Zea mays: one gene and its partner. The protein of the gene in region 1 interacts with the protein of each later gene in a pairwise test. Links are inferred from orthologs where the notes say so. Each region holds a gene or a part of one and is shown on either strand. Other genes may lie near its edges.

The links.
Region 2: the proteins of wax synthase (region 1) and peptidyl-prolyl cis-trans isomerase-like interact in binary tests that used the Arabidopsis thaliana proteins (3 or more experiments, as listed by UniProt). The link is inferred for Zea mays from reciprocal best matches to the Arabidopsis thaliana genes ASAT1 and ROC4.

Annotation. Positions count from the first base shown.
Region 1 is NC_050105.1:128,302,488-128,307,822, forward strand, and holds wax synthase, read right to left. Parts: upstream 3,285-5,335; 5' UTR 3,216-3,284; coding exon 2,190-3,215; 3' UTR 2,060-2,189; downstream 1-2,059. Other genes in the region: ABC transporter B family member 15, read left to right, coding at 1-16, 120-1,361, 1,440-1,827. UniProt on the Arabidopsis thaliana protein: Involved in the esterification of cycloartenol. Not implicated in the formation of sterol esters in flowers or during seed maturation. Has a substrate preference toward saturated fatty acyl donors (16:0 > 18:0 > 16:1 > 18:1).
Region 2 is NC_050103.1:1,412,035-1,418,620, forward strand, and holds the start of peptidyl-prolyl cis-trans isomerase-like, read right to left. Parts: upstream 3,766-6,586; 5' UTR 3,701-3,765; coding exon 3,590-3,700; intron 3,513-3,589; coding exon 3,368-3,512; intron 3,271-3,367; coding exon 3,182-3,270; intron 1,179-3,181; coding exon 1,124-1,178; intron 878-1,123; coding exon 792-877; intron 303-791; coding exon 147-302; 3' UTR 142-146; intron 34-141; 3' UTR 1-33. UniProt on the Arabidopsis thaliana protein: PPIases accelerate the folding of proteins. It catalyzes the cis-trans isomerization of proline imidic peptide bonds in oligopeptides. Required for the light-induced increase of thiol accumulation.

The DNA of each region.
Region 1 (5,335 bases):
TCCGTTCAAAGACCAGGTACCTCGCGACGTGTCCGTCATTGCTCGATCGAGAACATAGATTGCAGTGCAGAGTGCCATGGCGGTGCCAGTGACGTTTGTCTGAACTGTGTTCTCAACAGGCTGTACTCCCTCGTCTTCTTCGGCATCGCCATCGTCTGCATCACGGCGAACATCGTGCAGCACTACAACTTCGCCGTCATGGGCGAGCGCCTGACGGAGCGCGTCCGTGGACAGATGTTCGCCAAGATACTCTCCTTCGAGGTCGGGTGGTTCGACGAGGACGAGAACTCAAGCGCCGCGGTGTGCGCGCGGCTGGCCACGCAGGCCACAAAGGTCCGGTCCCTCGTCGGTGACCGCATGTGCCTCCTGGTGCAGGCGTCCGCCAACGCGGCGCTAGGTTTCTCCCTTGCGCTCGCCCTGTCGTGGCGGCTCGCGGTGGTCATGATGGCTATGCATCCACTGGTAATCGCGAGCTTCTACTTCAAGAAGGTGCTGATGACCGCCCTGTCCAAGAAGGCCAAGAAGGCGCAGGTGCAAGGCAGCCAGCTCGCCAGCGAGGCTGTCGTGAACCACCGGACCATCACCGCGTTCTCGTCGCAGCGTCGGATGCTCCGCCTGTACGAGGCCGCGCATGAGGCGCCCAGGAAGGACAACAGGGTGCAGTCGTGGTACTCCGGCTTCTGCCTGTCCCTGTGCCAGTTCAGCAACACGGGCAGCATGGCGCTCGCGCTGTGGTACGGAGGCAGGCTTATGGCCAAGGGCCTCATCACTCCCACGCACCTGTTCCAGGTGTTCTTCATGCTCATGACCATGGGGCGGGTGATCGCAGACGCCGGCAGCTTGACGTCCGACCTAGCCAAGGGCGGTGACGCCGTGCGGTCCATCCTGGACACGCTGGACCGTGAACCGATGATCCAGGATGACGGCGACGAAGCCGACGGACCAAGGAAGAAGAGGAAGCAACAGCAGCAGCAGAAGGAAATGAAAGGCACAATCGAGTTCAGGGACGTGCACTTCAGCTACCCGACGCGGCCGGGGACGACCGTGCTCGATGGGTTCAGCCTCGAGATAGGCGCGGGGAAGACTGTGGCGCTCGTCGGACCGAGCGGATCCGGCAAGTCCACGGTGATCGGGCTGATCGAGCGCTTCTACGACGTGCAGAAAGGCTCGGTGCTGATCGATGGCAGGGACATCAGGAGCTGCAGCCTGGCGCACCTCCGGTCGCACGTCGCGCTCGTCAGCCAGGAGCCGACGCTGTTCTCCGGCACGATCCGCGACAACATAGTGTACGGCGACGAGCACGCCACCGAGGACGAGGTGACTAGTGCCGCCAAGCTTGCCAACGCCCACGAGTTCATCAGGTACAGATTCTGCAGCTGGTTGGTGTGCGCACGCCTTTGTTGTACCTGAAAAACTTCTTCAATCCCGCCGTGCTACAGCGCGATGGAGGGCGGCTACGACGCGCGCGTCGGGGAGCGAGGGGCGCAGCTGTCCGGCGGGCAGAAGCAGCGGATCGCGCTGGCGCGTGCGATATTGAAGAACGCGCGGGTCCTGCTGCTGGACGAGGCGACGAGCGCGCTGGACACCGTGTCGGAGAGGCTAGTGCAGGACGCTATCGACAGGATGCTGCAGGGGCGGACGTGTGTGGTGGTGGCACACCGCCTCTCCACGGTGCAGAAGGTAGACATGATTGCGGTGGTGCGGGGCGGGAAGGTGGCGGAGAGAGGGCGGCACGGGGAGCTCATCGCCGTCGGACCTGGAGGGATATACTACAACCTGATGAAGTTGCAACTGGGTAGATCGCCGTGCCTTAGTCCTCCTAAGTAATTAAACAGACTTACTTTTTGGATGATGTGCTGATGTTTCCAGTTCTTGCATAACAAACTACTAGGAAGACTGGTCTGTCAACATGTCTTGGTTGATTATTTAGACATATAATAAATCGTTTTCAAATAAAAAGGTCAGCAACTATAAAAGTTGTACATTATCTAAAAAAACTACAAAGTTGCTGAACACTTCAACTACAATATATTTTTCATGCATCTAGATTTTCCTCATCTAGAATATTTCTGAAATTATCACCATCCCAAAACAAAAGTGCAAACAGATGCCACGGCGACAAAGCACACGGCACGCGCAGGCGCAGGCGCAGGCGCAGCGCACGCCTGTTGCGGACGGCGGACCACAATTTACGACCAGCTTGACAAGACTGACCAGGCGGAGTCGACCGCCCAAGCTGCGGTGTCCCGCAGAAAAGCGACCATGGCCTCGCACTCCGCGATGGCCTGCTTGTCCGCGCCGGGCCTTGTGAGCGGAGGAAAGAAGAGCCAGAAGGCCGTCACGCCCACGAACGCCAGTGTCAGCGGCGTGGCCATGGCGCGCGGCGGCCGCGGCCACCCCTCGTGCGCGGCCCACCACCCCTCCGCCACCGCGCACGCCCCGTGCAGCGTGAAGAACGCGGCCGCCTCCCCCGTCGGCCGCAGCAGCGTGAGGTAGGAGAACATGGCCTCGTGCATGAGGCCCGAGACGACGAACGCAGCTAGCACACCCGCGGCGGCGCCGAGGCGCGCGCGCACGGGGCGGAACACGCACTGGCGGAGCAGCGCCGGAACGGAGAGGTTCCACCTCCGGCCCCAGAAGTCCCGCAGCGAGGACGAGAGGTAGGGCCGGTCGAACTGGGGCTCCAGTTCCAGGCCCATCAGCGCGCGCGACGCCGCCGCGGCCGCCGCCAGGACGAGCTCGAGCGCGAGGTACACGTGCACGGAGTAGAGCGTGAGCAGGACGTAACCGTTCATCCGCTCCTCGTACCGGTACAGCGACACGATGGCCGCGAGCAGCGCGGCCATGGAGGCGGACTCCACGAGCCCCAGGCCCGGCCTCGAGGCGGAGCTCTTGGGATCCCGTAGTGTGACGGGGAAGGTGGCGATGGCGGTGAAGGAGGGCAGCGGGAGGCTCGGATCGAGCGGGCGCTGGCCGCATGCGAGGAGCAGGAGTTTGAATTCGGCGGCCCAGGCGAGGAAGAAGCCGGAGATGCCGCGCGGGTGGAGCGCACGGAAGGCGAGCGGGAGGAAAGGCAAGACGGCGAGCACCGGGAGGAACGCTGCAAGGCGGGACAGGACCGGGCGGAGTCGCCGCGCGGCGAAGCGGGCGTAGCCCATGCACGCGATCACCGCGGCCGCGACGGTGGCGAGGCTGCGCAGGTCGCCGGTGGCCATCTCCGCTGTAGGTCAAATCTCACCAGTTTTTCGGGTCCGATCCAGGAGCCCGAACCAGATTGAGAATTTGGGGAGGGTTGTCCCCCTGGCATTATAAATGGTCGCTAAACATGTTAAGCTTCATGTGCGGGAATCTTTACCTAGTAGATTAAAATCAACTTGCTAACACTGATTTATAGTCTAACTAGTATAATATCTGTGTGTTACACAATAATAAATATTACACTTGGCGTATGAGTTAAAAAAAGCTTGATCCTTTTATAATTTGTTTGGTCGCTCATTCACCTTTATCTAGTTGAGTATGAGAAAACGTTGTGGTACATGTGACTTTTTGTTGTGTTGGACTTAGCTGGCACAGCGTGTTTGTATCAGCGATCCGTGTGGTTATGGGGCTGCCCAGAGATCTTCCCGCTGGAGATTCGGTGTACATCAGATCGTATAATCAATAAGTTATTTTATATATTAAATATGTTTGTGTGTTTTACTACAGGCTTGTTAACACTACTAAAATTGTGTCATATGACAAAACCAAAACTATTTTCTGTGTATGGGGGAGTAGGTATAAATACACGTCACTTTCCTGTTTAGGATGGAGTGGAACAGGAAAGTGGACAATACTATAACAACATTTCACTGCGACGAGGAGGATAAATTATTAGTCTTTCTTAGACTTTTCTATAATGCATCATTTGGATCATTGAAATTGAATTTCATTCTAATAATAATAATTTAGGTATATATATTAAAAAAATTCAGGGTTTATGTAAAATATATCAGTATAATATTATTAGTAAGATGTCGGAGATATTTATGTGCTATATTTTTACTATAAAGGAGTGAGTCTAAGATCGTCTTTTAAGTTACATAGTAGAAACAAATTCTAGTAATACATAAAATCATTTCCCATCCCCACTCCATTAATTTAAGATAACCTTATATAGAACTTTGGGAAGTGATGAAATGTCAAATTCCAAGCTAAATAGGTTACCTTATTAAATGAATTTTAATTTCTCTGAAATGAAGGGATCTAAACGCTCCGTAAATAATAATTTGGGAAGTTATTTGAATAAAAATCGGTCTCTATATCAATTCGCTCTTCAAAGACTTTTCTATATCTTGTGCATACTGCAGAGAGCCAATTCCGCTCTTCATGGCTAATGAAAAATTCAGTGAAAGTGTTCTATTTCTATTAATAAGGATATAAAGATGGAGGTTATTTTTATTAAAGAAGTCATTGGAGGGCTTTTTTCACTCAAGCCTCTATTTCTGTTAATAAGGGTATAAAGAGTTTCTTGAAAGTGCTCTTTAGATCTCCAAACATTGTCATTCTTTATGTCGGGGACCATAATTAGGGGTACCCTCAAGGCGCCTAATTCTCAGCTGGTAACCCCCATCAGCATAAAGCTGCAAAGGCCTGATGGGTACGATTAAGTCAGGGATCAGTCCACACGAGTGACTCGATCACGCTTCACCCGAGCCTAGCCTCGGCCAAGGGCAGCCGACCTCGAGAGACTTCCGTCTCGCCCGAGGCCCCCTTTTTATGGCGGACACATCACCGGCTCGCCCGAGGCCTTGGCTTCGCTCAGAAGCAACCTTGACTAAATCGCCGCACCGACTGACCAAATTGCAGGGGCATTTAACGCAAAGGTGGCCTGACACCTTCATCCTGACACGCGCCCCCGGCAGAGCCGAAGTGACCGCCGTCACTCCACCGCTCCACTGGCCAGTCTGACAGAAGGACAACGCCGCCTGCGCCACTCCGACTGCAGTGCCACTCGACAGAGTGAGTCTGACAGGCAGTCAGGCCTTGCCAAAGGCGCCACGGCGAACTCCGCTCCGCCCGACCCCAGGGCTCGGACTCGGGCTAAGACCCGGAAGACGGCGAACTCCGCTCCGCCCGACCCCAGGGCTCGGACTCGGGCTAAGACCCGGAAGACGGCGAACTCCGCTCCGCCCGACCCCAGGGCTCGGACTCGGGCAAAGACCCGGAAGACGGCGAACTCCGCTCCGCCCGACCCCAGGGCTCGGACTCGGGCTAAGACCCGGAAGACGGCGAACTCCGCTCCGCCCGACCCCAGGGCTCGGACTCGGGCTAAGACCCGGAAGACGGCGAACTCCGC
Region 2 (6,586 bases), on another chromosome or scaffold:
TACCTCAGGTTCAAACTCACCAAGAGCATTTCGCTGAAAATGAAAAAAAAAAAACAAACCAAACAAACCATCGGCACTTCTACTTCCACTTCCGTATGCTTTGCACGAATCAACAATTAAACCCAAAACTGAGCTACTGACCTCGCTCAGCTGTCCAGGGGGACCTCGCCACAGTTAACGATTCGGCAAGGCTGCTTGGGAGTATCGGACCTGCTGGTCTCTTGCGATTCAAGCTGCTTCACCACGTCCATCCCCTCTAATACGTGTCCAAACACGACGTGACGGTTGTCCAACCACGGTGTCTGAGAAGAATTCCATTATTGTCTCAGTGTGAGCCAAGTACCCACGATATAAAAGACCTCGATGGCCGGTTCTTGCTGAAGAAAACAAACATAACAAGTCCAAGGCTATGTTTTGATAAGGGATAGTTTATTCATGATATATTATCCTCAACAGATTTGGATGTATACATATGCTACCTTCCTTGAATCTTGTCTTGATCATACATAAACAACAACGACGACAAACTCAATCAATGTTATCGAGTTGAAAATGTCATGGTGCTCACTTATGACATGTAACAAATCGAAGTGTATTAATAGATTTTTGGTAGACAGAGTTCAAATAATTTTGTGAAATACATATGTTAAATTCATTGATCAGCATTATATTTGAATGTGAATCATTACTCAAAAGCTAGATTCTTAATGCAGCAAAAATTAAGATGTTCCAGCAGGCAAAATAGTGAGCAAAATGAATTCTATCATTGCTACAAATCAAGAATGCCTTACCTTCACAGTGCAAATGAAAAATTGACTTCCATTTGTGTTGGGGCCAGCATTTGCCATGCTTAGCACACCAGGGCCAACATGCTTCACTGCAACAAAGTAAGCCAAAGAACCTCTCAGTTTGAGAACTAGCGAAATGGCACCAGACACATCGACATTTTTGCAATTCAACAGAACTTCATTCAGAATCAGTTTCCTGTAAGCTCCTGTCTGCATTATTAACAAAAAAACTAGAGAAAGTTCACACAAAAATTCATCTTAATGAGAACAGAATTAATAGCACTACTTTCTGCAACAGTAGAAGGTAATAAAATAGAAGGCTAAGAATCACTTACGTGTAAAATTTTCATCATCAAAGCATTCACCATAAATACTTCTCCCACCAGTACCCTGTGGTCACCACTAATAACTTAGCACTAGAATAAGTGAAGACGACTTTTAGCTCCTGACAGAACTAGCTTCTCTGAATAAACATTATTGAACTTCACCAAACTTTATTTCACTTTCACAGGTAAATTCTTACACCTTTCACAATTTGGTTGTCAATTCTTTGAAAAGTATAATGTTACCCATATCTAATAAGTAGCCAGTGGCAGATTTTGCTAGTTTGCATAGTTCCATGGTGCAAACCTATGAATGTTTGGATACTCTCGTATTCACCTCAATCCATATGTATTGAGATGAATACGAGAGTATCCAAACAAGGTCTAAGGTGGAAGCCTACCTCACCCACCATCAGCATATTGATTTGGTTCCGTATTGATAAAGAGCAGAGATGTTCTGTTTTCATCATCATTATTTGTTTTGTAATTCTCAGTAACATGAACTCAATGCGCAACTTCGGCGCCCGACAATCAATTTTGTACTATGAGTTAAACCAATCTATATTTTCACCATAGTTATTAAGGCGGTAAGGCAACCGACCCTTTTTTTACCCTTCAGGCGGTAAAGTGTAAGGCGTGACGTCTTAATTATATAGTAATATAATGCTTTAATTATATAGTAATATAAAAAATTAGATCAAATATGATTTATATAACAATAATTCAAAATTAATAAGTAAACTAGCACAACTATAAGGTCTAGTAAGCCTGTTTCAGTCTAGTAGGAGAGAAAAATAGGAAAAAAAAGGAAAAAAAAGTCTACAATAAGTCGGCCCAGCTAGCCCAACCCAACAGCAACAGTTTTAGGTTAAAACAGCTCCCTCTCCTCCCGTGCAGTGCAGCCGCCGGCCGCTGCTTATTTCTCCCCTGCACCTCCATCTCTCTCCCTCCCCACAGCTTCATCTCTCTCCCTCCCCACAGGTCCCCCCTTCCTCTGACTTGCCGGCTTGGGCTGTAAACCCTCGCCGCTGCGCCCTGTGCGCTGCCGCAGCAGCCCCATGCACGCCGCCGTCACCACTGCGCCCTGCGCGCGCTGCCGCAGCGCCCTCTGTCCTCGCATTACTCCCGCGGCAAGGCGATAGGACGCCTTACGTGGCTATGCTCGCCTTACCGCTTTAGCGACGCCTTAATAACCATGATTTTCACAGTCATCATCGTTGCCGTATTATACGAAACTTGTGACTAAAAACTAAAGAAAATCTAAGCTTATGTAGTGAGACACAATCAATGGAGCAGTTTTGCAGACAGAGCCCAATGGATGTATCATTATTGACTATGATTAACGGTGGAAATAGAAGTGACAAATTGCATAAAGAGAGCTGCATTGTGCTAATGGTTTGTAAAATGGTCATCTACACATTGGAGAATAGATATTTAGTGATCCAATGCAGATAGCTGGATGCTAACTTCAAGGTGCGATTATAGTACAGAGTGATATCCTAATAGACATTGGATGAGAATATGAGATAATGCTCAATGTTCCACAAGCTTGCCCATAGAAACAATATGAATCTGATCCAAACAGGCTCAACAAATTCCATGGATTGTGGAGGGCTTGATGCACTGGAAATATAGGTTCTAGTTCTATATCTTAAACCCATATGCCAATAAACATGTGCCCCATATGATTGCCATTGACTGGTGATAGTCATCCTAAAATCCATAGTAGATCCCATAACTAATAAACTGATTTTTGAGCAAGGCATGAAACTTAACTATTAGGAGACTTGCAGCGAGTATGCAAATCAATAGGTGCAATATAACTTTATCTGGCCGAGCTTAATAGACTGGATGTCTTGGCAGCAAAAAAATCATAACTGATTTTGTCCTGCTTTCAGGTTTTCCATCCATGTTGGTGTTCATTCTATTGTTACTTGTGAGCAATGATTTACTATGTTGAATGATGAATAGGAACTTCAATTCTACTCACATCTTCTTCAGTTGTAGGAATATTTAACAAAATCTGCAGTGGCCATTCAGACCAATTGCGTACAGGTAAAAAATGCTTACATTGTTTTGCTGGAAGTCCCCGCCTTGAATCATAAAGTCCTTGATGATCCGGTGGAAGGAGCAGCCCTTGTAGCCGTACCCTTTCTCACCTGCCCCGCAACCAAAAGAGCAGCAATGCTCGGTAAATTCGACTCGTAAAGCTATTGTGACCAGCGCTGATTCAAATCCAATCCATAGCGTACGCACCAGTGCAGAGCGCACGGAAGTTGTCGACGGTCTTAGGTACGACCTCTCCGAAGAGCCCGATGACGATGCGGCCCGCAGGCTCCCCGCCGACCTCCACGTCGAAGAAGCACTTGCTCGTCACCTTGGCCTGCAGCTCCACGGCTCCCTGCAGCGAAACACCGGCAGTCTGTCACAACGCGCTTGGCCTCGGGGAGCGCCGTAGGTGCCCGTAGCCACAAATACCTCTGCCGCAGTGGCGCGGACGACGACAGCGCCACGGGCGTCGCGGTGGCCGCCGAGCCTCAACGTGGGGATAGCGCGGGCGGGACGGAGGGAGAGCGCGCCGCGTCGCATTTCCGTTGAGTAGCAGAGGTGGGTGCGGGTCGACGCCGGTGCCGGCGCGAGGACGGAGGGGGCAGACACAGCCGGCATGCACGCCATGGTTGGGTTTGGGTTTGGCTTGGCTTATCGGATTTTTTTTCGCTTAAATATATCGGAATGGAGGGAGAAATCAAGAGGGCGTAGTGGGCAAGGGCAGGCGAGCAGGGCGGCGCTCGAATGGCCGGGGAAGGGGCTGAGGCCAGGTCTCCGGAGGCAACAAGGATTGGCATGTTGGGGTAGCCTGCGGTGTGGCAGAGGGCCCTTAATTGTTGTTGGGCTATCGTTGGGCCTGGAGGAGTCAGAGCATGGCCGGCAGGCCGGCACTGATGTCCGCCGTCAAGGCAGCGTGTTGCATTTTTTTCTTTCCTTTCATCTGCATTTCCTTTTTGTTTTCTATAGGGTTTTACTATTGTTTTTATGTTTCTTTTATTTATTTTTCGTTTATATCACTTTTATTTTATTTATTTTTCGTTTATATCACTTTTATTTTATTTATTTTTTATCTCTCTTTTACTTTTATGTTCTCTGTATATGTTCATATATTTTTATTTTTCTCTAGTTATATATTATATTTTTTATTTTTAATACATGCTGTGTTTACATAGTATATGTGAGGTATACATATTCATAACGTTTGTTAGTCAGGGTATAGAGGCATCATTGCCATTAATGATGAACATCACCCGCATCGCCCTTGTCATCGCCTTTCCATCTCAACCGATCACACGTGTCGGAGAGGAAATCTCTCTGACCGGGTGGCGGATTGCACCCGCCCTAAATCCTAAAAAGAGGAGGGGCCTAAGCGTTTTGCTTGTTACGAGACTGGTGGATCAACACACGGGAGCACGCGGGGGTTTAGAGTAGTTCGGGCTGCTGGAGCGTAATACCCTACTCCACTGTGTGATGTATTGCTCGGGAGCTTGTATGAACTTGTGAGTGTCTGCCTAAGATTGGGTCTGTCTTGTAACGCCGCATGCCTCCCCTTTTGTAGCCGAAGGGGGGCATGCACAAAGGTATTGAGCCCCGACATGTGGGCCCAGGGACATAACGAATATAGCACTTGGAGCCACAAATGTGTGCTGCTGGGGCACTCTTCTTGGGCCCCGACATCCGAGATCTGCGTATCCTCGACGTGCAAGGGAAGCTTCTTATAGAAGGGGTAACGAGCACGGTGCGCCGCTCGGCACGGGCGTACTGTTCACCAACAGACTGGTCAGGCGATGTTGGGTGCTGGCGATGCAAGAGGAGCTCAACAACTTCACAAGGAATGAGGTATGGCATTTAGTTCCATGTCCTAACCAAAATGTTGTAGGAACCAAGTGGGTATTCCGCAACAAGCAAGATGAGCATGGTGTGGTGACAAGGAACAAAGCACGACTTGTGGCCAAGGGATATTCACAAGTTGAAGGTTTGGATTTTGGTGAAACCTATGCACCCGTAGCTAGGCTTGAGTCAATTTGTATATTACTTGCCTATGCTACTTACCATGGCTTAAGCTTTATCAAATGGACGTGAAGAGTGCCTTCCTCAATGGACCAATCAAGGAAGAGGTCTATGTTGAGCAACCTCCCGGCTTTGAAGATAGTGAGTACCCTAACCATGTTTACAAACTCTCTAAGGCGCTTTATGGGCTCAAGCAAGCCCCAAGAGCATGGTATGAATGCCTAAGAGATTTTCTTATCACTAATGGCTTCAAAGTTGGAAAGGCCGATCCTACTCTCTTTACTAAAACTATTGCAAAAGATTTGTTTGTATGCCAAATTTATGTTGATGATATTATATTTGGGTCTACTAACAAATCTATATGTGAAGAGTTTAGTAGGATCATGGTACAAAAATTCGAGATGTCTATGATGGAGAAATTGAAGTATTTTCTAGGATTTCAAGTCAAGCAACTCCAAGAAGGCACCTTCATCAGCCAAACAAAGTACATTCAAGACATACTCACCAAGTTTGGAATGAAGGATGCCAAGCCCATCAAGACATCCATGGGAACCAATGGGCATCTCGACCTCGACACGGGAGGTAAATCCGTAGATCAAAAGGTATACCGGTCGATGATAGGATCTTTACTCTATTTATGTGCATCTCGACCGGACATTATGCTTTCTGTATGCATGTGTGCAAGGTTCCAAGCCGATCCTATGGAAATTCACCTTAGGGCCGTGAAGAGAATCTTGAGATATTTAGTTCATACACCTAAGTTTGGTCTTTGGTACCCCTAGGGATCCTCGTTTGATTTATTAGGATATTCCGATGCTGATTGGGCAGTGTATAAAATTGATAGGAAGAGCACATCATGGACTTGTCAGTTTCTGGGGAGATCCCTGGTGTCTTGGGCTTCAAAGAAACAAAACTCAGTAGCTCTTTCTACCGCCAAAGCTGAGTACATTGTCGCAGGCCTTTGTTGCGCGCAATTGCTTTATATGAGGCAAACCCTTAGGGACTATGGCTACAAATTTAGCAAAGTCCCTCTCCTATGTGATAATGAGAGTGCAATCCGCATGGCGGATAATCCCGTTGAACACAGCCGCACTAAGCACATAGCCATTCGGTATCACTTTTTGAGAGATCACCAACAAAGGGGGGATATCGAGATAGCCTATATTAACACCAAAGATCAATTGGCCGATATCTTTACCAAACCATTAGATGAGAAAACCTTTACCAAACTTAGAAATGAGCTAAACATTCTTGATTCTCGAAATTTTGATTGATACTTTGCACACATAGCTCATTTATATACCTTTGATCATATCTCTTTTATGTCTATGACTAATGTGTTTTCAAGTGTACTCTCATGCTTAGTCATAGAATTGAAAGGGAAATGGAGTATTCGGCAAAGACGACGCTTCCACT